Oryzias latipes: one gene and its partners. The protein of the gene in region 3 binds, or shares a complex with, the protein of the main gene of each other region. Links are inferred from orthologs where the notes say so. Each region holds a gene or a part of one and is shown on either strand. Other genes may lie near its edges. The genes, in order: rpf2, rrs1 and heatr3.

Region 1 (8,513 bases), on a different chromosome or scaffold from region 3:
ATCCCCTTCTTGCACATTGTGCAACCTTTTAGCCTTTTGAAGAGCATTACTCCTCATACTTTTGTTTCTCAGAACAGTTGTGTACCTGGCTATAAAACAAGTTACTAATTGAATCAAATCGACCCAAGTTATAAAAAAAAATAAAAATGTGATTAACTGAAATTCGAAATTTGGAAAATACAATTTGGATTAGAACATGGTAGGTTTATTTCCCTACAAAGTAAAAACAAACATCACAGCAGACGACACACGTGTAATGGCAGCAAAAAATGACCGAGCCATCATTACAGTCTTGATGTATGGAAACACATTTATGACAGTGTGGTATAAAGTTCTAAAAATGTTCTATTAGTGTTATTTAACTCTATGCGTTTATTTTAAAATATTTAACGCCCCAAACCGGCTTTTTATCTGAAAAAAAAAGAAAAGAAAAACTCTGCTCATCCATTCCCATAAGAAACTTTAAGACCAACATGAATGCATTGATCATGGGAGCCATTTGTTTTGTTTGAATTTATTTTGTCAAACTTTTACAAGAACCTCGATGAGTTTATTCCTACATCACATCATCTATGGTGATAAAAACCAGGTTTTATCCATGTTACGGAACAAGAGCCATAAAAAGGCTTGAAACTGAGGAAAGGACTTGGTGAATTAAAATGTTCATGGAACCTAAAGACTTTCTGCGGTTGAGGAATCATCTCGGTGGAGAAGACGCCTTCAGCTCTCCACTTTGGCCACTTTGGGCTCAGGCCTTTGCTCCTCTTCAGCCACCACCTCGCCCCTCCTCTTCTTCAGACCCCTCAATTTACGCGTTTGCAATTTGGACAAGTCCTGCTTCTGCATGTGAACCCGGCCGAACTTGGTACCAAAGGCATCATGGGAAATGTTCTTCTTTTTCTTGGGCTGCAGAGTAAGAGGATAATTTGTTAGTTTCTTTTCTGAAGAAAACAGTCAAAAGACATTTTCCTTCAACTCCAACATTAGAGGTGGTCACTTTGATGCATCATGGCACTTGTCCTCTGGCGCCATCTTCAGTACACATTTTGTATTTCTCAATAGTTTGTTCTGCAGGAGACGCTTCAGATTTGCATAAACGATTAAAAAGTTACAGTACTTGAAAGAATGTCAATACTGGAGCTCTGTTGTTAAATGTTTCAGCTAGTTACCGGTTAGCATTCTTTAGAACTGCCTGGCTCGCAGGTTGAGCTTTTTGGCACTAAGCTATGGTGGGATCAAAGAGCAAAAGGTGCCGACGTCACCTAACGGGTTCATTCATGGCCTCCACCCACCTTCAGAGCTTTAGGCTGCCTGTGAGCTAGCTTGTAGAGGTCGTCTGAGGCCAGGTGAGTTCTCCTCAGCACCAGGTCCATGGAGGGCCCGATCTCCTCCAGCTCGATCCTCGGGACCCTGCAGCCGGACTTCTTCAGAAGACACCTGTGGGCGGACAGCACCGTGAGCCTCGGAGCGCCCCCTCCAAGGCGAGAGCAGCCAGTTTGAAGTACCTGTAGCTGCGCAGGTAGATCTTCCCGTCCACAGCAGTGAAGTGCAGAACGTGCTCCAGACCGGCCAGACGGACTGCAGGGACTGTGGGACCTCTGAAGAAATCTGAATGGGCGTAGAACCGGGTCAGAACATATACGCGTTTGACCTCAGACCTTCATCGTCTTCCTCACATCTTACCTATTAGCAGACTTTTGAGGCGTTTGAACTCGTTGTCCATTTCAAAAGCTTCTCCTGCAAACACCAGCATGGGTTTGGTTCCTTCAGGACATTTACTGATCTGAACCAGAACACAAACGATCATCAGGAATCATCAACAGACGCAGAAATCAGGTGAGGAGCAGAAGAGCGCTGAAACTCAGAAACACAACAAATCCAGCCCTCATCAGAACCTGAGGTCCAACCAGAAGATCCAAAAATTTAAGAGTTAAATGATGACAAAACACTAAACAGATCCTATAAAAAAATAAAAACAGAAAATGGTGATGGCTTCAATCCAAGAGGGAAAAAATGTCGGCTTGTTACCTTAAACTCACTCAGAGAGACAAACTTCTCAACTCCAACTTCAATCATGTCCAGAACGTGGAAGTCAAAGAGTCGACCTGAAAACCAGAGGGACATGAGGAGGTTATGACCCAGGAGGAACAGGAACATAGCAAACAAGGTTCTACCCACACCTCCTTTTAGTTTCTGCAGCCGCAGCTGCAGCGGCTGAGCATCAAAAACACTGGCGGAAGACGCTTCAATCAAGTCTAACATGTCCAGCTTACCTCCATAAAATCAACCCAAGAAGAACCAAATCAATGATAATCATCCTTTTATTAATGATCAAATCGAACATATTTTTTCTTTTTGCTAAACCCTAAAAAAAGCTAAATACCTTAGCAACAAATAAAAACATTTTTCCTCGAAGACAAAATAGCATAAAAAATACAAATTTTATATTTTAGACTGATATTTCACATTTTTTGGTCTAAAACTAGTAAATCAATGTTAAAACTAGGAATAAAAGGAATCAATTTTCAATAAATTTTCATAAAAAACTACACAAAAAATTGTCTTGATTTATAGTGAATTTTCCCGAGAAATAGGCTTTCACAAAATCACAAATTTATTGTTGTAGCAATATCAAGCTGTGCAAAACGTTTGTTGCAAAAGACGGCGAAAATTGTGATCAACGGTAACCTTAAATGTGTTAAAACAATCTGATGGCACCTAGAAGAATTTCACAAATCAAATCCATTCATGCATTTGACCAATCAGATGGACTCCTTCACGTTGTTGACCAATCAGATGGTTGATTTGCTATCAACCTGCAACATATATGGACCACTAATTTCGTGAGTTTTCCTCAAATCAGGCAGCCCTACCAACAAATATTATTGAAGACTGAAGAAAAAAAAAGTATTTTCAAACAGAAAAATACTGTTTGCCGTTCAAAGGTTGGACTTTTTAACCCCTTCATGTTGCTGATGTGCAACGTCCCATTAAATCCTGGACTGCATTTAAATTTGCATTAGCTAGAATGGCAAAAACATTTCATATAATCTGAAATAAAGGGAAGCATGAAAAGGTTAATAATATAAATTAGCACTTATTAATTTATTTCAAACCATAATTTGTATACATTTAGATTTACTGTGTATATATTATCATTTTTCTAATAATTATTATTTTTTAAAGCATTTTCTGCTAAATAGATGATATAATTATGGGATTTTTGAAAGATTGAACAATTTTCTCCTGAAACTGACCTAAAAGTCACCAATCAAAACATGTTTGTATATTTTAATAAGCTTCTCATGTCGTATAATTGTGTCAAAAGGCCCAGCGGTCCTCCTCCGAACAGGTTAAAGCAGCAGGATTTACCAAAAATTAAGTTGTTGGGTCGTTTCTTGTTGTGGGAGCCGAACAGGAACAGAGAGCAGTCGCTCTTCTTGGAGAAAAACTCCTAAAAAAAAAAAAAAAGTAATAGTTCAAATTTAAGACAAAATCTCCTGGGACACTCGAGCGGTAAGAGAGGGTCAGAAATCTCACCAGAGACGTGGAGTCTTCAAAAGGTCGGGTGATGTTCTTCCTGAAACACAGACACCGTTTCTTCACAGAAGTTCTGACCCGACGCGCTGTTCTGCTTCTAAATGTTACACTTCTGTTTTTACACTCTAGGGCTAAAACTTTCAAATTAAGAGCCCTGACGTGACTAAAAGAGGCTTTTATTGTCTAAACTGTTGTTGCAGATCAGACAAAAAAATCCAGAAAAGAAAGAAAACAACAACAGTAAACTGTTGTTTTGCTTAAAAGAGAGTGGAGGTTTTTTATTTTTTTAATCAACATAAATAAAATATTTAGAAAAAAACTTCTTCCATAAATTACAGCCATTCAAAAGCTCCTCTAAAGTCAATATTTGAGTTTTCCAGCAGCTTTAAACCATAAATAACATCAGAAAATGATCTGATGTTTTTCAGATTTCAAAAAAGTGATGTTAGCAGCATCAGGAAAATATTTAGACAATTTGGCCATAAAGTTTAGGATTTGGATTGAATTATTTTAGCTGTGTTGCTGTTCTTTGACAGGCTTTATGATTATTTTTGTAAGTTGGCCATAACCTGATCTAAAAAGGCCTAAAACGTTCGGCTTGTGGTGAAAGTGGATCATAGAGCAGCTCGGATTGGAACTTACTTCTTGTAGAGCACGGCGTTGGGCTTCTTCAGGGAGTACTGCAGGGAGGAGGACAGGGCCATGTTTACTTCTTCATCATTACTTTCTTCAAAATCCTGTTTTTAACATCTTCTTGCTCCCTGCTCAACATGCAGACCATTAGATCGGTGTGCGGATTTCCTCGTCTGAGCTGCAATCTGGCTCTAAACTGCTCCAATATTGCTAATATAATGTTAGCTTGGGAGTATAAGTGGCTGTAAGTTAAAGCGAGAGGGTAAACAGAGAGCTCTCAGTAACAGGGAGGAGTGGAGGGCTGAGGATGCATCATGTTAACAGCCACAACTCAGAGGCAAATTTCGAATGGACTCCTGCTGCTCTGCAGAAACTAGGTCCTAAAAAAGGACACGGGTTCATGATCAGAGGGAGACTTTAGGGATGTTCGAAGTCACTCACGATGTCTTTGAGGGCCTCAGTGACCGTCTGGTTTGTGTTGCCCCCCTTCATGATCATGACGCTCTTCACGTTCTCCAACAGTTTGGGTTCTCGGGTCTCCAGGAAGCGCTTGGAACGCCTCGTCTTCGGTTTTCTGAAAACACAGCAAAACCCCCGAAGAGTCTGAACATCAGTTTCAGCACCAGATTGATAGAAATCAGGCAAACTAATGACATTAAAATCATAACATGAATGCAATTATAATATTAAATAAAATGTTACTCAGATATAAAACTTTAAATTTTAGCTAAGTTTTCCAACTAAACTTAAATCTGGAATTTGCCCCAGACATTTGGACAATTAAAACATTTATTCATTAAAACACTGAATATGACATCACTCATTTGCTATGATGTAAAAGCATAATAAAAACAAACATTTTTCAGAGACCATTTATGTAATCAGATGATGCAACTTAAATAATTTAGAATGAATACATCATTCAAACATAATTATACTCTCTAATCTAGTGAACATGGATTCACACTGTTTTTTTTTGCAAAGACTCCTAGGAAATTTCCAGGCCATTGGGTTTTGGAGTTGAAGATGTATAAATGGCAAGCGCCCTTAATAGGGAACCAATCAGAATTCAGGTGATCCAGTCACCTGAGACCGCCTCAAACATCTGTGAAGGAGCGCTCTGATCTCAGGAGGAACACAGAACCTGCACAGTCAGAACCTTTCAGTGGAGCTGGGGGCTTCAAATTAATGTGGAGGTTCATGGAGGTCTCCAACCTCCAGGAAATCCCTACAGACAAGTTCTGGCGTCCTCCTGGTGAGCTCAAGGAATGTGGGAAAGCTCAAACGGTCCAAACCTTAGCGCGCGAGCGGTACTCACGTGATGCCGTCTGAGTGCGCCATGTCCGTGTCGCGGTTCGGTTCGGTCCTGTTCTAAGTCTGTGGCGCCAGCAACCGGAACCTCCACGTGAGGTTCTGTCCGGTAGAAAAACACACGAGGCTCTCTTCTTCGTTTTTAGTGGAGTTTGCTCGTTGCCGCCACCTTTTGTCTCAGTGCAAGAATGCTTGGAGTCGCTGAAAATTATACTATTTGTCCGGCAGGGGGCGACATTTACCACCAAATATAAAGAAACGCCGAAAAGGTAAAAAAAAACTTTTTACATTTAAAAAAAATATTTAAGTGTTTATACTCTCTAAACGGGAAATTTTTATCACGATGGTACATAAAATAATCCCAAAATAATATTTCTTTTGAATACATGCAAACATTGAAGCACGGGAACTGATTGATGTTCAACTCTGACCAAACGTGTGGAAAATCTAGCAAAACCTGAAAATTCCCAAAAAATCTTCTGAGCCAAAGCTATGCCGATCCATCAACAATTAGTTTAAGCAATAAACACAACTGCAGCACACCTGCAGCATCATGGGAAATGTAAATTGGCTTGATGTGGCCATGCAGCCTTAAACCAAACCAACTGCTGTTTCATGTTTATGGAGATCAGTTTGAATAAGATTTGAGACAAGAGGCAAGCAAAGAACAATTTATGCTTTTAGTCATTAAACTCTGTTGGGATGCTCAAAAGAACAAAACAATCAGATTAAAGAGAAAAAATCCTGGAGATGCCATGAAAAAAAGAAAGATGTTCTTCCATACAAGAGAATAAAAAACATTTCATGTTCATGACATAGATGTCAGATTCCTCCCCCTAATGTATTTTCCAAAGAAACCCAGTATCATGGTTACATCCGTTTTTCTTTTGTCTTTACAATTGTTCTACTTCGTGAAATTCTTTCCTCCTGGAAGACTTTCTGATCCCTTGATGTCAATAAAATCTTGCAGTGTGATCAGTCAAACAAGCTAAAAGGGGCTCCACACCAAAAGCAGGGTTGGTTGTCTCAGCATTCAGTTAGTTAAACATCTATGTTTGTCTAATATTCTGCTTAAGAGGAATACTACAATGTTTCAAATTTGTCAAGATTATGAAATTGTTTTTTTGTGAAGGACATCAGTCAATCCTTGTTATTGAGAGATATTTGTACACGGCAGCAGTGGATGCAGTTTATTTTGTCCCAGACGGACATTTTTTGCTCCCACTACTATGGGGGACAGATTCATGTGAGTTTAATTTGCTACAAAGCCTGGTCTTTTTTTTTCTTTTAAAACCACCCAGGAGTCTGCAGAAAAAATATTCTGTCACATTTGTATTTATAAAAAATTTAAAAAAAAAGAATTAGAATAGTAGTGCGTGTGCAGGAGATACCATAAGTGTTCACATAGTAATGTTTTACTGCAGGAACAGTTTAAAATAGTTCACAAAACTATTTCTAGCTCAATCGGGAATTTTTTCGAAAGGAGAAAGTGGTGGGAAGGTGGGAGCAAATCAAATGAAAGCAGGCAGGCAACTCCCGACAACCAATTGGATGAGACAATGAAAGTTGTCGCCAACAAGAATGTGACCATTTGGAACAAAAGCTAAACTAAACTATGTCCTAACATTTCAGAATGAGTCTTTAAACATGTTAGGCCCCCCCCCCAAAAAAAAAAGCCTAAAACACAAAGTTATCCCTTTATGTTTATTGAAAAATCTGAAAGCTTAAGAAAAAAAACTTTTGTATTAGAATCTTTCAAGATTCAAACTCAGAATCCAAGTTTCAGGCTTCAAATCAGAAATACACTCTGAGACAGTCAGAGGTTCGACACCTCCAAGTGTTTTTAATCAAATGCCTTTCAGAGATTCTTTATTCCACAGAAACTAATGAAAGTTTAATTAAATACTAACTCCAATAAAACTTTAATGTCCTCTGTAGAACTTTTCTGCTGGAGGACGAATATAAAGAAAACTGAACTTAAATCTGAATTTGAGTGTTTGAGTGAATCAGGAGCAGACGAAAAAACCTGAAACTTTTTGTGACAAAAAAACTCAGGGCAGACCACAAACTCTCTGCTCTGCTCCATTCCGATGCATCCATGTGCAGACAAATGGATCCAAGTACGTCTTTGTTTTCTGAGCTGGAATCTGGGTCAGAACTGTAGCTCCAATACTGCTCGCCATTTTTGTTATGTCAGGTTGGAGGAGTGAGGGGATGCAAGCTCACAAGACAGCAAACAGAGCTCAGTTATGGGTGATGGGAAGAGGGGTGGAATTGCTTCACACCATAGGTCCCACCCTCATCTCACAGGTGAATTTTTAAATAAAATACAACTGCTCTGCATGAACTATGTCCCAATAGGTTTAAAATTCCTTTTTTGTTAAAAAAAACTAAAAGAGGCAAACTAAAAAGAGTAAATGAAAAGTCTAACATTTTTGTTTTGGAACCAGCTGATGTGGGACGTTTTGAGAAGAACCAGACCAGCAGCTTCACAGATAGTCATTTATTGAAGCTCATAGCACAGATATATTTAGCACAGATTGACCAAGGATCAGCAGAACAAAGTGAAACAGCAGAGTCTCCTACAGTGTGTCCTGACGCATAACTGCACCCTCTCACCTGGGGGGAGGCATCTTGACCCCCACCGCCCCTCCTCATAAAATGAAGGGGGGGGGGGGGGGGGGTCCAGAAATCAACCGAAAAACGAAGTGGAAGTACAGCGACTGACGGACGGACGGGAAGGTTGGTCCAGAGCAGAAATACAAAAGATTTTGTAGAAAAATCCAGAAATTATTCTTCTGTAGAAAAACAAACAAACACAAAAAACCCACCCAATCGGGGCGACGTGTGCTTAACCCAACCACCACCAGGACCACAGCCGGTTCTGCTGGAGAAACCCAAAGTTCTTCAGCAGAAGAGGCCGGCTGTGGCTGAGAGAGGAGGTCCGGAGCAGAACCTGGTCCTAAAACCTGAGGGGAACTCGCCCCAGTTCTGGTTCTTTGCTGGTCCAGTCTGAGCCGCTACGGCGC
Region 2 (7,634 bases), on a different chromosome or scaffold from region 3:
AAAAAAGGGTTAGGGTAAACATTTCTTTTTACAGCTCCCACATGGCTTTGTCTCTGATTGTTAGCTGTTCCAACAAGAGTGTGTTAGCACAGACAAATTACTACGAGTTCTTGTTAAATTATTTACCTTTCCTTCTATCATGTTCACCACGAGGAAGTGAAATACCCTGACATTTTAGCCATTCAGTGTGCAAACATTTCCCATGATAGGATGAAGGCAGAGCTTTTTCTTTTTTTTTTTCCTCTTTTTTTTTTAAGAACTTCATTTACAAGAGAAAAGAATTGACATTAAAAGGTCATTTGTGTTTCTTCAAAAACCACCAAGTGCTAGTTCTTCAGTTATTGATGGGATCTAATCAATCATCTGAGATATATGCCACCTACTGTTTTCAATGTAAATATTTCCTGGACCAAAAGCCTGGAAAAAGCTGCAGGTGTGAAAAAGAGTAGGCATGAGTGCATTAGCTTTATAGATCGGTGTGCAGATTGTGTTGAATGGAAAAACACAAACATTTTATAAAGTTTTTTGTTTTTTGCTGTTCCGGTGTAATTCAGTATTATTCTTTTTTTTTAGGTCAAAGGTTAAAATGTGGGCATGTTTTTGTTGTTTACCGTCACTCACAAAAACTCAAACAATCTTCCAAATAAATTAAAAGCCCTTCGATTGTTCCAAAATGAACAGACAAAAGCCATTTGTATCATTTAATTTGTAATTGTAAAAGTGTGTCCTTACACATTGACTACAGAATGTTGAAATTTTCACTTTAATACACTTTGCTGTAGTGTTATTGAGCATTGTTGCATTTCCCTTTTATTTTTTTTATATCTGTGCAACAAAAGTTTTAAATACTTTTAAAACTTATTAGTAATTAACTGTCACTGATCCACTAACCTGTCCAGGGTATATCCCACATTCAACCAAAAGTCCCGTTGTGACCCCCAAATTGGATGAGGCAGGTTTGGAAGATGGATGGATGGATTTGGCCCAATAATTAAAATGCAACAGACATGTCTTTGAGATGAGGCAGTAGTTTGTTAGAAATCTACCTCTTAGTTGTGGGCGAAACCATTGGTGCACCCCCACATCCCATCATTTCTCTGTTTCCACTCTCTACCACTATCTTACAGCCCCTCCCAAGCCCAACCTAGTATTAGCAGTGCAACAGAAATGGCGAGCAATCTTAGATCTATCTAGCCATACAGTTTGGAGCCAGATGCCAGCTCCGGCGAGGAAAACTAAGACGTACATGGATTTGGTCGTCCAAGGTGGGATGTATCGGAATGGAGCTTGTGGCCCGCCGATTATAGCTTCTACGTTACACCTACGAGCTTTTTAACACTGCATTTTTTTGTCTGCTCCTGTTTCACAGCAACTTGAATAAAGAAATGCTCAGAAATGCAATGGTACGCTTAATTTTCTTTATATAAGTCCTTCATCATGACCCCAAAAACACAATTTGAGACATCATTTGTGTCTCTTTGGAGGAAATATATCCGAATGATCCATGCACATTCAGTTTTTTGGGGGGATTTTCAAGTTTTATTAAAAACATTAAATAAGTTGGCCTAGTTGTTGTAGAGTTCTGGACCTGTTACATCACAAACACAGATCGTCTCCAAACTTTCCATTTTTCCAACAGATGTGCTGCATCTGTTGCGTGATGTGTTCATCTTGTTTTTATAGCTTGTTTTTCACTGTCTCTTATACTTGAGGGAGCATGAATTAATGAACATCTTTGAACTTTGAAGACTTCAGGCACATGAATATGACGGATACTCCATGATTTCCATGTTAAGCTGCGGAAACAAACTGTTTGCTACTTCTGCTCATTGCAAACGTGCCGAAATACATTACATTACATGTTAAAAAGTCATCTTTCACTTTCACAAAATATTCAAACATTTTAATCTGTGTACAATAAACTGAGCTGTAAAGTTATGATATGAGGAAAATTTAAAGTAAACTGTTGTAAAAATCCCTGATTTAAAAAAGAATATCTAGTACCTATTTCGAATTGTTCTCCTTAAATCCAACCTCCTTAAATCCAGTTTCTAATGAGCAAACAACATCTGTTGCACTGGACAATTACTCTCTGACATCAGGATTTTGAACTGCAAAAATGAAATCCAAAATGTGTCTGCCACATCAACTGCACCAACCCGCTAACAACATTTTGAAACTTAGCAATTGATGAAGAGTTTTGCAAAGTCAACAAGAAAACAAGCCCCTCATAATAAACAAATCCCCCCCTAGGATGTTTGAAATGCAACTAGAACAAATAAATGTTGAAAAGCTTTTCTTAATCAGGCTGCACACAGTTTATTTTAGTGTAAATTTGAACTCTTTAACATGGAAGTAGATGGACAGTTGCTCCCTTCTGTGCAACCAGTCTCCAGTGGTCTTTTGAGGAACTGCAACACTTCCTGCTTCAGATGTGGGAAGGAAATTGGAGGCTTGGTAACACCTTAACCATGCATAGACACTATTGGCTCCATGAAAAATGCCCCTACTAAACATATCAATCCCATCAGTCTGTCTCCATCAAAGTGCCAATCTGTCTCCATCAGTTTCCAGACAATCACTCCAATTAGAAAGGATTATTGTTTCCTAAAGATGGATTGATAAGATATTATGGAAAACAGTTCTCTCATGTGTGATTTTTTTCTAGACTAAATTTAGCTATATAAAACTTTTTTTGAGGATATAAAAAATCCGATTGACCTCTGATTGAAGGATCATATTCAGTTCCCGCACTAAACTCCACATTGTTCCTGGTGGTTAGACTTGGTTTGGCGCCATGTATGTAGCAGAGGCAGCACCAGTGTGGGAATGTGAGTGTGTATGCGACTATAAAGCGCTTTACACTTCAATTAAGGTAGTGAAGCATCATATGATGAGCACCATTTATCATGACAGTTATTGTAAGAAGGTGTTTGCAAAAGTGTCCTGCGACAGACTGGCGACCTGTCCTGGGTGTGTCCCACCTTCGTTCAACAGTGGCAGGGTTAGGCTACGGCATCCCCATGACCCAGAAAGGGTTAAAGCAAGAAAAAGAATGGATGGCTAGATGTGTAAAATTATTTTTTGATATTAATATTGGCAAGAAAAGTCATAGAAGTTTTACCTTTTTTCTGAGAACAAGTATTCCCTTAGTCAGGTGTGTATTGTAGCCATTTGGCTAACATTATATATTGTATTTATATTCCATGCATGGATGCTCCTGTCCTGCCTTGGTCATTTAGCCATTTGAGTTCCCTGTTGATGGGTGCATTTTGGAGATTGCCATGTCTTTATTAACATGCGTTTGGATTTTAGAACTTTGGAAGCATGACATTATATTATTCTTAGGCCATGTTCAGACTTTTGAATGCTATTTTGGGGGGTTTTATTGTAATTTTTCACTGTTTGAGTTCACAAAATATTTGACAAAAAAGGAAGAACATTGACCGTTTCTTATGAAGCAAGCATCAGATACGAGGCAGTTCCTGTTCCCCAAAACACCTGAATGACAGCAGTTATAGTGTTTTGTAACCTACAAAAAATATTGAGGGATAAATTAGGCTTATATTTTTTAAAAGATTAATATTTTAAGCTCTGCCAGGTGACACAACTGAAGGAAACCAAAATTATCGATGCCAACTCACTTTAAATGTGTATTTAAATAAATATCACAACTGAATGTCCATAAAATTCAAAAACAAGTATTGCAAACATGGTTTTATTTTGAAAAATTTTGCATATTTCTTAGCTTGACTGTATTTTGACACATAGAGTTGAAATTTTGTTGAACTGTCACCGATGAACTGTAACTGACTTTTTACCCCAAAAAAAATGCGTTTACATGTTTTTTTCTGTCTAGTTTAGCTAAATATATATCTTTTTAAATAATGTATATACACCCATCTGGAGCTTCTGTGACTGTCATCATCTGTGGTTTGATGTCTGTAGTCCACCTGTTGAAGCGCCCTAAGGCTACAGACTGAACTTAAACTTGACCCTAGTGTTCATTGGTGTGAAAAAGAGAAAAGAGCTTAAAAATGTTGCATGAATGTGGCATGAATTTAGATTTTTTTTATTAATATAGTGTATTTTATGTGTGTGTTATTATAACAAGTTGTATACATTGCATTAATTTGTTTGTTTTTTATTCAAATTTAAATGTCAAATTAGTGGAACAACATTGCCCTCTGGCAGCCAAATTCTGTATTATACAAGAAAATAAAACAACACTTCCCCCTGATGGTTACCGGTGGGAATTAGGCAACACTGCCTCGTGCGGTGAGACAATGAACTACACCGTGACCCGGAAGAAGACTCCTGTTGTTGCCCCACGTGTGTAGTGGTCGAAATCATGGCTGCGTGCAGCGTGGAGGAGCTGTTAGCGAAAGCCGAACAGGAGGAGGCTGAAAAACTGAAGACCATCTCCGTCCAGAAGGAGCTGGATTTGGACTTTGACGTGGGAAACCTGCTAGCTTGTGACAAAAACCGCATCGAGTCCAGGGACTTCAAAGAGCAGAATAAGGAAGACTTTCTCCGGTCGCTGGCCCGCGACAACACGCAGCTTCTTATCAACGAAATCTGGAAGGTGCCGACCGAGAGGGTCGAGGAGGCGATCGTAGCCAAACTACCGGAGCCGACGACCCGGTTGCCCAGAGAGAAACCTCCTCCGAAGCCCAAACCCCCGACGAAATGGGAGCAGTTCGCCAAACTGAAAGGCATCCAGAAGAAGAAGAAGACGAACCTGGTGTGGGATGAAACGGCCAAGGAGTGGAGGAGGCGCTGGGGCTACAAGAGGGCCAACGACGACACCAAAGACTGGCTGATCGAGGTTCCGCAGACCTCCGACCCGAACGAGGACCAGTTCGCCAAACGCGCCCATGCCAAGAAGGAGAGGGTGGCAAAGAACGAGTTCAACAGACTGAAGAACGTCGCCAGATCTCAGAAAATAAAAAACCCCGGTGTGGGGCTGCTACCCCGAGCCAAGCAATCCAAAGACGAGCTGAGCAAAGCTGTGAGCGTGGCCAAAACCTCCACGGCATCCGTGGGCAGGTTCCAGGATCGCCTCCCAAAGGAGAAGCCCCCCAAGAACGCAGGCAAGAGGAGGAAGTTTGAGCCCCTCATCGGGGACTTCTCCAGCGAGAAGCACAAGCAGCTGGAGCTCCTGAAGGTCATGGACAGCAAGAGGCCCAAGCTGGACATCACCAAAGCCGTCAACAAACAGATGAGAGAGGAGGACAGGGAGGAGGCTGCGTCCAGGAAGAAGGGAGGCAAAGGGGGAGCCACCCGGAGGCCCAAGGGGAAGGGGGGCAAAGGAAAAGGAGGCAAAGCTGGAGGAGGGAAGAGGAGAGGGAAACCTGGGAAGCGCTGAAGAAATTCTCTACATCCTGCTGCTGCAGAGCTGAACTCTGAGGACCGATTCCTGCTCCCCATAGCTTTTTGACTGTACTGTTGACAGAAAAGCAAATATATTCTACAATTTAAATACAAAAGTCTGCCGTTTCAGTTTTTTTTTACCTCCAATAAATGTCATATGGTTTTCAAAAAAAACTTATTTCCAATGAAAAGCTAATTTTAAGATTAAAAGAAATTCTGTTGCATTTTTCTCATGATGGAGGACATAAATAAAGAAATTTTAGATTAAAACTGCATTATTGAGTATTTCTTTATTCAGATCCTTGTGAATCAGGAGCAGACAGAAAATGCTGTTTGATAAATCCCTCAGTTGTAACGTAGAAACTGAACTGGGCAGACCAAAGTCTCCCTGCTCCGCCTCCACTTGCACACAAAGATGTAGAGAAATGTGAGGCGCTGTAATCTAGTGGGAGAGCGTGTAAACATGGATGACGGAAAGTGGGGGTGGACATACTCTGCAGCAATAGTTCCACCTACTGATGAACTGCTGCTCTGCACAAATTCTTCTCTAGAAAACAGCATTTGATTTTTCTATTTAGCCTAAAAACGGCATAGTCATAGTTGAAAAGACCGCTAGGAACACCCTGACAAAAGCGGATTGGAGTGGGAATTTAAAATCAAACTGGAATAGAATTGCTTTCTTTTTTTATCGTAAATTGTCTCAAGAAGGCTGCCTATTTTTCTTTTGAAAAGTACATATTTGCAGTTCTTTTTTTAAATATCTGAAAATTTTTATTTAATCTTGATTGTTTTTATTTATTTCCAGAGAGATCCTGTAGTAGATTTGTTTTCACAAGTCTGAAAATTATTTTCTTTTGTTTTTTAAAAAGAAAAACAAGCATTTTATTATTTATTTTTTTTTAAAAAGCATGGAGTGGCAACACAAGTGGGTGTCATCTGGCCCATAGCATAAACCAGTCATGTCCAAAGTCCGGCCCGTGTTTCAGTTTCCCCTCATAAAATCAATAATATGCAGCCCCCAGCATTCTCTAAACAATATGATTTCTTGATGGTGAATCACAATACTTAATTTATCTCAGAGGAAATTGTATTTTCAGCAGAACAACATGCACAAACAAGGAAAAGCTAATATACAAAAAACAGTGCAGTGCAAACTTAGAAGTGTGTAAAATAAACAATGTAATACTGTCAGGTGGTTCTAAGAAGAAAATTTCACCTTTCCAAATCTGGCCCTATGCAAATAGTATGGACACCCCTGTTATAAACCATAAAGTAAAAAAAATTATAATAAATATCTTTAGTTTTTAATGACACCACATGATGCCATTTCAAGCTTGGCACACATGAAAACATCTAAATATGGAACAGATTTCCTGTAGCATTTCGTAATAAGCTTCTCTGTCTTCTGCATCATGTCTGAACGATCCATGCAGTGATTTTCTGACTAACAAATGTTCTGAGCTAGCGGATGGGATCTCTTTGCACACTTTGAATGATTTCCGATTTCGGAGAGGGAAGCCTAATTTCATATCCTTTTATGGATCATCAGGTTTGTTTTGTTTTGTTTTTTTATAATCATGCAGTCCTGAGCCTTCTTCCTGAACAAAGTTTATTCCTTACCCTTGTCCATTGAATGCAGTCATATCTGAGTTTTTCTTATATGCTTCTTTTTTTCCAGACAAAATTGGGTGAGAGAGCCCCGGTTCAAATACCTGCTGGGATTCTTTTTGTGTGGAACTCTTCCTGTGCATGAATAGGGTTTTTTTTGGACACTTCATCTTCCTCCCACAGTCCAAAACATGTTTCATAAGTTAATTGGTGAGTCTAAATTGTCCCTGTGATAGCGTGGTCCTGCTACAGACTTGTGACATCAGGGAGTGATCTGCCTTTGCCCAGCAGTAGCTGGGTTGGTTCCAGCAACCCTGTGATCCCGAAAGGGATTCAGCCGGTTCAGAAGATTCTACTTTATTTATTAATAGACCTCTTTTCCTGTTGCAGAACACCTTAAAGTGCTTTACATGAAATAAATGATGTCTAAAAAAAAAACAATAGTAATTAGAATAAAAGCCCCCAACACACTTACAGATTCTACTAGTACAAACAGGGAAAACAGTTTATAAAATCATATCAAAACATAAGGAAATGTAAAAACTTCTTAAAAACTTATGTCTAAAATGATCAATTCTTTCTTAAAAACCTCCACAGTGGAATTAGGCCTTACATCCTCACGCAGGTCATTCCACAGGAGAGGCTTACATTCC
Region 3 (8,667 bases):
GCCAACAGCGACGTAAAGTAAACCAGAGGAGGATTCTACACGAAGAAGAATAAAGGAGGAGGAAAGAGAAGAAAATGAACTCATTAGAGCAGGCCGAAGGTAAAATAAAGTGTAAACCTTAAAATAACTTCATTCGTAATTACATGTTCGATTTAAAGATGACGTAATATCTATAAAGGATAACCGTGTGAGTTAAGACGCCATTTGTAATTGAACGTGTCGTTAAATTTGCGACATATAGCATTGTTTGCTATCCTCACACTGACAGATAAGATGTGCGGTGATCTGTGTCTGTAAGCTTGTTTGGTTTAGGCATATATATTTGAACCAATGATGTTCTGTCTTTGAATGGTAATTTATCGGTGTTTGTTGCTAACGTGACTGTTGAGGTTTCTTGTTAAAAGTTTTTAAAAGATAACCTTAGTTTCATCACAGTTGTTATGAGGTGAAACTACTACTTGATACTCGATAACTATCCCTCCATAACGTGTTTTTATAGACCTAAAGGCCTTTGAAAGAAGACTGACAGAATATGTCTCCTGTTTGCAACCAGCTACAGGCAGGTGGAGAAGTAAGTAACTGTTATAATTAATGATAAAATCTGGAGTATTTTATTGTTTTTGTTTATTTAAATTCTAAAGTTGATATTTCTCTTGAAAGCCAATAAAAAAATCAGGAAGGAAGCTTTCAATTTGATATTTTGAATTGAGCTAAAACTTTGGATTGTGTGCTGTCAGTATTCAGACTGGTTTACTGTGTTATGTGGGCATTTATGTCCTGGCCTATGTAGTTCTCTCAGGTATGTTTCTTGCTGCTCTCAGTCACAAAGGCTGAGTTTTCTTTGTCGTCTTTTTTCGATTCATTTTTTTTTTTTTTTACACTGTCCCACAATGTTTTTCAAAAATTTCAATTGTTTCAGCTGGTGTGAATCTGCTGTCATTCATTTTCAGTGATTCTGATAGTGGTATCAGTCTGTACGGCAACTGGGGCTTGGAACTGGTTAATAGATCCAGACACACAGAAGGTATGCGCCTGTGAACAACAAGCCACATGTGATACATGTATTCACAGCAAAACAGATGATGTGGTTAGTCTAAGTTTACGCAAACATTTTTGGAGTTGACCACAACACCTTTACTTTACAGTTTTTCTGGAACAGTATTGTAGTAGGAAGTGTTGGGATGATACATTTGAAGGTTGTACCTATTTTAGCGCACAGTTAATACGAGGTGTAATCATTGAAGCACATTTTTTGAAATATCCACTTGTCTTTTGTTCAACATAAAATTTGATAGCAAATTATTCATCATTTTTTTCTTAGTGTTTTTTGTATTAATATTTCATATTTTCTTGTTTTGCAGGTCTCTTTCCTATCGTCACTTTGGAACCATCCATTCTTTACCATCAGCTGCATCACCTTAATAGCTCTGTTTTTTGCTGGAATCCACAAACGAGTCGTGGCTCCATCAATGTATCCTTTGACTTGTGCTGTAGATGTCAAGCTTTTTCTGTCATACAGATTAAGTACAGCAGGGGACCTCAAACTCAGGTTACCTTGGGGGCCACTGAAAGCAGAGTCCTCCTGAGGCTTTGGGAGCCGATAGCAATTTGAATCAGAAATTTAACAAAATCCAGTCTTTTCAATTTTTTTAGAGGGCACATTTTAACCCTGGTCACAAGTTTTATTAGAGAAGCCAGTCACCCACTACTATATTTTTATAATTGAATTCAAACTGTGGGTAGTAAGAGGATGGACGCTGTTCATTGGAGATTGGAACAAGCGTTACGCATGAAATAAAAGAAAAGGAAGAAATTCATTAACGTGGACTGCAGTCTCTATCAGATCAGATCTATCTTAGAGTAGACTACAATCACAATGCATCAAGCAACGTAACTTCCATGTGGTCCCATGTTAAATAGAGGTGGGTGTCAGGTTTCCTGCTTTAAATGTTTCCCTGCGTGCAACCATCAGGCGCGGTCAATGCCACGCCCCCAAGAGCCATATACCCCACTGTGATAGTTTGGCTCGTCAGCTTTGCACACAACACTGTAGAAATGTCATTCAGACAAAACTAATATATCATAAACTTATACATCATCTTAGGGGGCTACCAGTTTGCGACCCCTGAAGAACAGGGTCTTACTAGATAAAATACCTTTATGCTATGTACACACTGGGCATGTGGGCCGTTGAACGCAGGTTCGTTGAACACGCTTATAGTATGCTGTGTTCACACTGGACTGTCGCTACCCCGTACTTATTGCATGTACTCACAGTTAGAAGAGGCTTGGTGTGAAATGTCAAAGCTGAGATCTGAAATCTCGTGAATCTTGCTCCAGGCTTTTTCTTTAACGGTTCTTTTATACAATTTCTGTTCAAAGTAGGAACCAATTATTGCAAACTTTGAGATTGCAAACAGAATTGGTGGTTTATGAGTATTATGGGAAAGTTCAGCTTTATAATGACCTGGTTTGACATGAAAAAAAAAAACATCCTTCTGGCTCTTTTTTTGGGCTCTTTCCCTTTTGCCAATATGGCCTGAAAATAGGCTGTGAAGTGGATATTAAATACATGTTTAAAAATGTCCTTAAAAGTCTCAGATTTAACTTACAGAAACCTGTAGGAGCCATAAAAATATACAAAGTTCTTTAGATTTCTTTAACAAACCCATTTTCAATTGTTATCTTTGACCTTTGCCCTTTTAAGAATCGCTGCTCGCTGTCGCACGGTTTTAGCAGAATACAACATGTCCTGTGATGATGTGAGTTCATCTTTTTTTATTTAAACTGCATTCCTATTAAAACCCATTGTTTGGTACATTATTGATTGTGTTTTTTTGTTTACTTTATGTACAGACTGGAAAACTCATTCTCAAACCACGACCCAGCATCCAGTAACTACATACAATGACTTAAAGTATGATCACAAACTCTGAATCTTTCAACTTTTCCGGGCAGCGCTGAGGTGGAATTTGTCAACACAAAGCAAAGACTGAACTGGAGTTTTTAAAAATTGTGTTTCAGTGTGGAATTGAAGCTGCTGACATGCTCACAAAATCTTCAACTGTATTTTAGTCATTCAGTGTGAGTGCAGATGTGTTTATTCAGATTTCTGTTATGTGTTTTATCTGAGTATTTGTATTTTAAAACTTATTTGCTTAATAAATGCACAATGTGTGAATTTTTGTGTGTTTGTTTATGCAATATTTGGGACTTTGGTTTGGTGCGAAACTGGTTTTGTTTTTTTTGTCGCCACAACAGTTGTGGTGTTTACGACAGTGTCTTCTATCGGCAAGGATCGCTTTACGGCAGACTCGTCCACATGGCTTCCAACTCGGCATGATCGGAGTTTGAGCTAAAATCGTCAGTAAGAGTGAACCAAGGCGAACTTAAAATCGTGTTTTATGTATAGGTAGTCATTGATCGTCATGGGTAAAAGTAAAACCACGAAGTTTAAACGGCCGCAGTTCAACGCCGTCGGGCTGCCGGTGAAAGCCGTGAAAGAAGTTGACGAAGAGGAGGAAGACCACGGTGAAGATTGCTCTCCAGCCGCGGAGCTACTGGAAAAGGTGTTATGCATTTTTCGTTTGGGTTCCAGTTGTTCCCATTTTGAAGTGTCCTTTTCAAAATAGATGTTTATGGTCACGTAAATGGTAAATCCACGTGTTGTCGTGGAGAGTTACTGTAGACTTCGTTCCGACAGTCACAGAGTGTGTTTCCTCAGCTGCAAAGCCCGAACGCAGACACGCGTGAGTTTGCGTGCGCCAGCATTTCTCGGGTGGTCCAACAGAGCCAGACCATCCCCGGTTTTCTCCAGAGACATGCTGTCCGGCGCCTGGGCCCCTTGCTGCTGGACAACAGCTTGGCTGTCAGGGAGACTGCCGCCGGGGCGCTCAGGTAAAACAATCAAATCTTTACCTGGAGTGGAGGCATAAATAAACCTGTAAACAACACTGTCATTCAGTTTAAAATCTTTTTAATAAGAAAATACAGTTAGTATCAACTGTAAATCACTTTTAACAATGATTATGCTTTATATTTTGAGAATAGAAGGCGCCCAAATGTCCTTTATGATCACGTCCTGATGAGGCTCAAACGGTTGCTGGAGCCTATCCCATTTGTCTTTGTGTAATTGTTGGAGAACATTCCTCATTCTAATGCTCACACTCTATTCTAACAGACATTCACCATTAATCCAGGTTTATAGTTATTATTATTTTATTATTTTTATATTAAAATGTGGCACAAAATGCTCTGACGTGAGCTGTATTTGAAAATACTTGCTCCAAAAGATACCAGAGCTGTTACCAGCCCAGGGGCCTTGTGGTAGGTAGTGTCCATCCTGAGGCTGGAAGGTTATGACTTCAAATCCACGGCCGAGTCATACCTCAGACTCTATCTAAAAGTGGGACCAATGCCAGTGCATGACAACTAAAGGGACTTTGAATTTAACTGTTGATATATGCAGAGGGGCAAAAAGGTATTCAGTCAGCCACCAATTGTGCAAGTTTTCCCACCGAAAAAGATGATAGAGGGCTGTAACTTTCATCACAGGTAAACCTCAACTGTGAGAGACAAAATGAGAGAGAAAAATCCAGAAAATCACATTGTCTGATTTTTAAAGAATTTATTTGTAAATTACGGTGGAAAATAAGTATTTGGTCACCTACAAACACACAGGATTTCTGGCTCTCACAGACCTGTGACTTCTTCTGTTAGAGGATCCTCATATTTCTGTCCACTCATATTTCATTGGCTTCACCCCTTAATAAGCCACAACACAAACTGGAGTGATGTTAGAGTTTGCATATACTGGGAGTTAACTGGTGGTTAAATGGAACTCTTCATGTCCTAATGCAGCACATAATGCTGCTTAGTATGACTAATATTTAATGGCATTTGAACTTATCTGACGCTTCAGCGGGGGCCGCCATGCTTTAATAAAAGGTCATGCAGTGAAAGTAGCACTTTTCAAATGTGTCTCGGTTGTGTTTTACAGGAATCTGAGTGCATGTGGAAATCAGGAAGTGTGCGAGGACATGGTGAAGGAAGACATCATGACTCCTGTGACAGCGCTGCTGACAGAGGTGAGAGCTGTCGGCTTCCCTCCACACACTCCTCATTAAGGGCTGTCACGGGAGGCTGTAGTGGCCGCCGCAGTTGAGTGTCGTTCAACAGCGCAAGCAAAACCGTCTCGTAAAAAAGAAGAGCTCGTCAAGAACTGGAGCCGTTAAAGTCTAGCTTTTGTTGTAGGGAAGTCTGCATTAGAAGCTGTGGTCAGTGTTGGATTTGTGTTAAAAACAAAGTGTTGTTTGTTTTTTTAAGCAGGTTTGTTTTGCGTCCAGTGTTGCGCAGGTTTTGACAGCACCGTGGTGACGATGAAGGAACAGAAAAATGCTGTGGAGGATGTTGCCAACGAGGCGGTGAACCTGCTGTGGAACCTATGGTAAACCAGGAAGTTGTGCTGCTTTCGATGACACCCTTTCCTACCAGTGCTTTTCAATAAAGACCCACTCGGTCATCTATTGATCTGTTGTAAAAGTGTTCCCAGTGGTCTTTTAACTATAATTATGCCATTTTTCGCCAAAATCATTGTCGAGAGCTTGGAGCAAGCTTGTGGCCCGCCCAGTATATTTGCGACGCCACAAATAAGCAATTTTTCCAAAAAATGTTTTTGACAAACAATGTGAGTAAAGAAATACTCAGAAATCCAACATATGTCCTTCCATTTTCAGGAAAAGTGCCACAAGAACATGTTAAAACACAATTTTCAATGGAGTGGGTCTTTAACAAAGTTTGTAAAACTTTGCAGCTTCTGCTATTTTTACCTCAAGTTGTCCTTTTCTTTTCCAGTGAAAACAGCAGCCAGGCGCTGTCTGTTTTCAACAAATCAGGTCTCCTGGATCTTGTTGCTCAGTGTCTGGAGAGGCACCCACGTAATGTGGAATTGGCTGTTTCAGCAGGTACCTAAAACCCACAAACTATTCCTAATTTTTCTTCTTTTTTATGAAAATATTTTTTTTGTGAGTTTAGATCTGGTGACATTTAACCTTGAAACCGAAGAAACAGAAACATATGATCAAATTTAATCTCTCTATTCATGATTGTTCTCATTTCTTGTAATTATCACAGACTAAAACTGAAAAGTTGCGGTTTTCACAGCTGTTCTTTCGCCATCTTTCTCAGTGGGCTGAGTCCTTTTAACCCTAAACACATTTGAATAAAAACTTTATATCTCACCCCAGAATCAAACGGCGAACATTTGGACAAGACAAAATCTGCTCTACCCCATCTTTTGTATTTAAACAGGTTTAAAATGATCTAAACTTGTTTGTGTTCACAGCTCTGTTGAGAAGTTTGGATTATTGTCATGAAAGTTTGATAGGTCACTGAAACTGCCTCTGGGGAATTCAGAGGCAGATCTTTTGGATCTGGATTTTGTCAGGACTTACTGAATGAAGTTGTAAAATCTTTTTGTGGTGTTCAGTTTTAAAATCAAAACAGCCGTTTACTCTGCACTGCTCCACATTCAAAACAGAAAAGGGCTCATTTAAGTTAATGCTGTCAAGCTTATTTGAAATATTTAATTACCGTACTTGACAAAAATGCATCCCGTCTGACCTTCCTTTGACACTGTAGTGCTGTACTCAACCTGTCAAATGTGGGGCCCTTTGGTGCCTCTGTCTAAATATGGGCTCCACAGGAAAAAAATACTGACTTCTCTTTCTGTAAACTGATATTTGACATAATGCTGTTGTGATAGTGTGAGCATTCTAGCATAACTTGACTTTGTAAGGTTATTTTAGTCTATTATGGGTATGCATTTAAAAAGTGCCGAGCTTACTGCCTCAGGGTGTAAAGAAATCTATTGGTAAGATATGATTTTAATTTAGAAAATGCAATATTAATTCTATTAAATCCAACGATTTCTTTTTTAAAGTGACATGTTTCATGTTTTTTTCCCAACACATCCCATTAGTTTTTCTTTATAAGTTCTAATTTTTTTTCCAGTTTAGTTGCTACCTATGTGGAAAAAGTATTTGACAATCAATAGAAATTGTCTAAAATTAATATTTAACAAGTAAATTGATGTTTAATTATGTTTTCTTGAATAAAAGCAGATTTAATTCAGTGTTTTGGCTATAATACCTGCTGGGTTTTAGCCCAAAGAGTCTCAAATCTGTCTTTCATATTTATTCATAGAGCCTAAAAGTTTTTGAGTCATTTTCTTGATGGAGTAATGTAAAAATGCAGAGATGACAGCTTTAATTTCAGAGTAAAAGTTCTTGAAAATCCATTATCATCAGACTACTACACTTCCTCCTCCGTGCCTGTCAGTTAAGAACCTGTTTGTCCATCGGTAACAAACTTAAAATTCAGCTCTAACTCTGAGATTTCCCATTCAGGGACTGAAGGCACCTCCAGTTCAGATTGACCATCTGTTGCATTCTCAAGAACTCTGGAACACCTTGAGGGGAAAGGTTTAAATTTAGCAGAAATGTCCCCTTAGACTTAATGAACCGATAAAGGTTTGTGTTAAAAAAAGCTAGATCGCCGTGACCTCAGAACTCCAGGATTTTTGTCAACAGAACATGTGAGGAGTTTTGCAATTTGAAGCTTGCTTTCACGATTTTTGACTTTTTGGGAGATTTTTGACTATTGGGAACAAAAAGTAACCAAATTACCACGGCTGCCTAGCCGTAAACTAAAGTATGTTCAGATTCAGATTCAATCCTTTGGATTAAAGGACTTCTTTAGTGAATTTTATAAAATGTCTTTTTCCACTTGGATGAATTTGCTAAACCCAACGAGGCATTTGGTCAGGGTTTGTCTCATCCTGTTCTCAAGTTTGCTGGGAAATATGCAGATCTGAACATGCATATTCAGGGAGGACCGACATTTGGATCCAACTACTTTTGCAGATAACTATTAATTTGTTCTGCTGGTGCTGGGGTTCAGGTTGTCTGGAGGCAGTTTGCATTACAGACAGAAAGACAGCTGCTCAGCCAGGTCTTGAACCGGTCAAGACCTGAAAACTAACAGAAAAAAAACAATACAAAAACAGGAAAGCTATTTCATTTTCACAACCTATTAAGTTGTTTTTGTGGTAGTAAGTAAACTTGGACACATGTTGAAGCAGTGTTTGGCAGTTGATATGTATTTAATACCAGAAAGAGCAGGAGTCACTTATCCTTCTGTGCTTTTAGCCGTCAAAATAAAGCTTTTTGGCCCTGACGGCTTGGTTTTATTACTGTATTCCCAAACAACAAAAATTGAGAACAATACCGATCATTTTTATAGAAACATCCAAAGCAACTAGGCAATCCAATTCACCGCCACCTAAAAAATAGAGAATATTGAACTCTTTACCAAACTGAAGAAAAAGAAACTGTACCAAGAAAGGTTGAATAGTAAATGTATAAATAGTTTCTTCCTGCTTCATTTGTGATATTTCTGAACATTTGGCAGACTTTGATGTCTCTGTTAGTCATCTGAAGCTTTTCTTCTGTCTCCCAGCCCACTGTTTGCACACTGTGACTGAGGACAACCCCGAACTGCTGTGCAGCATGAATGCAGGCGTTTTTGGAGCCCTAGAGGGTGTGCTGCTGTCGTCTCAGCCAGGCATGGCAGCCACTCTTCTCAGGACTTTAGCTGCGGGTAAGCTTT

What was found.
Region 1: heatr3 (region 3) and rpf2 share a complex: the UniProt entries of both Homo sapiens proteins name them as parts of the hexameric 5S RNP precursor complex. The link is inferred for Oryzias latipes from reciprocal best matches to the Homo sapiens genes HEATR3 and RPF2.
Region 2: heatr3 (region 3) and rrs1 share a complex: the UniProt entries of both Homo sapiens proteins name them as parts of the hexameric 5S RNP precursor complex. The link is inferred for Oryzias latipes from reciprocal best matches to the Homo sapiens genes HEATR3 and RRS1.

Annotation. Positions count from the first base shown.
Region 1 is NC_019882.2:10,336,141-10,344,653, forward strand, and holds rpf2 (ribosome production factor 2 homolog), read right to left. Parts: upstream 5,636-8,513; 5' UTR 5,515-5,635; coding exon 5,492-5,514; intron 4,748-5,491; coding exon 4,615-4,747; intron 4,221-4,614; coding exon 4,183-4,220; intron 3,581-4,182; coding exon 3,541-3,580; intron 3,455-3,540; coding exon 3,373-3,454; intron 2,106-3,372; coding exon 2,029-2,105; intron 1,784-2,028; coding exon 1,684-1,783; intron 1,609-1,683; coding exon 1,506-1,608; intron 1,438-1,505; coding exon 1,293-1,437; intron 907-1,292; coding exon 721-906; 3' UTR 479-720; downstream 1-478. UniProt on the Homo sapiens protein: Involved in ribosomal large subunit assembly. May regulate the localization of the 5S RNP/5S ribonucleoprotein particle to the nucleolus.
Region 2 is NC_019878.2:17,064,683-17,072,316, reverse strand, and holds rrs1 (ribosome biogenesis regulatory protein homolog), read left to right. Parts: upstream 1-4,281; 5' UTR 4,282-4,351; coding exon 4,352-5,368; 3' UTR 5,369-5,489; downstream 5,490-7,634. UniProt on the Homo sapiens protein: Involved in ribosomal large subunit assembly. May regulate the localization of the 5S RNP/5S ribonucleoprotein particle to the nucleolus.
Region 3 is NC_019861.2:30,452,492-30,461,158, reverse strand, and holds the start of heatr3 (HEAT repeat-containing protein 3), read left to right. Parts: upstream 1-3,288; 5' UTR 3,289-3,428; coding exon 3,429-3,569; intron 3,570-3,724; coding exon 3,725-3,897; intron 3,898-4,999; coding exon 5,000-5,087; intron 5,088-5,345; coding exon 5,346-5,446; intron 5,447-5,853; coding exon 5,854-5,963; intron 5,964-8,517; coding exon 8,518-8,658; intron 8,659-8,667. Other genes in the region: cnep1r1 (nuclear envelope phosphatase-regulatory subunit 1), read left to right, coding at 75-99, 500-571, 951-1,024, 1,362-1,471, 2,708-2,762, 2,857-2,898. UniProt on the Homo sapiens protein: Plays a role in ribosome biogenesis and in nuclear import of the 60S ribosomal protein L5/large ribosomal subunit protein uL18 (RPL5). Required for proper erythrocyte maturation.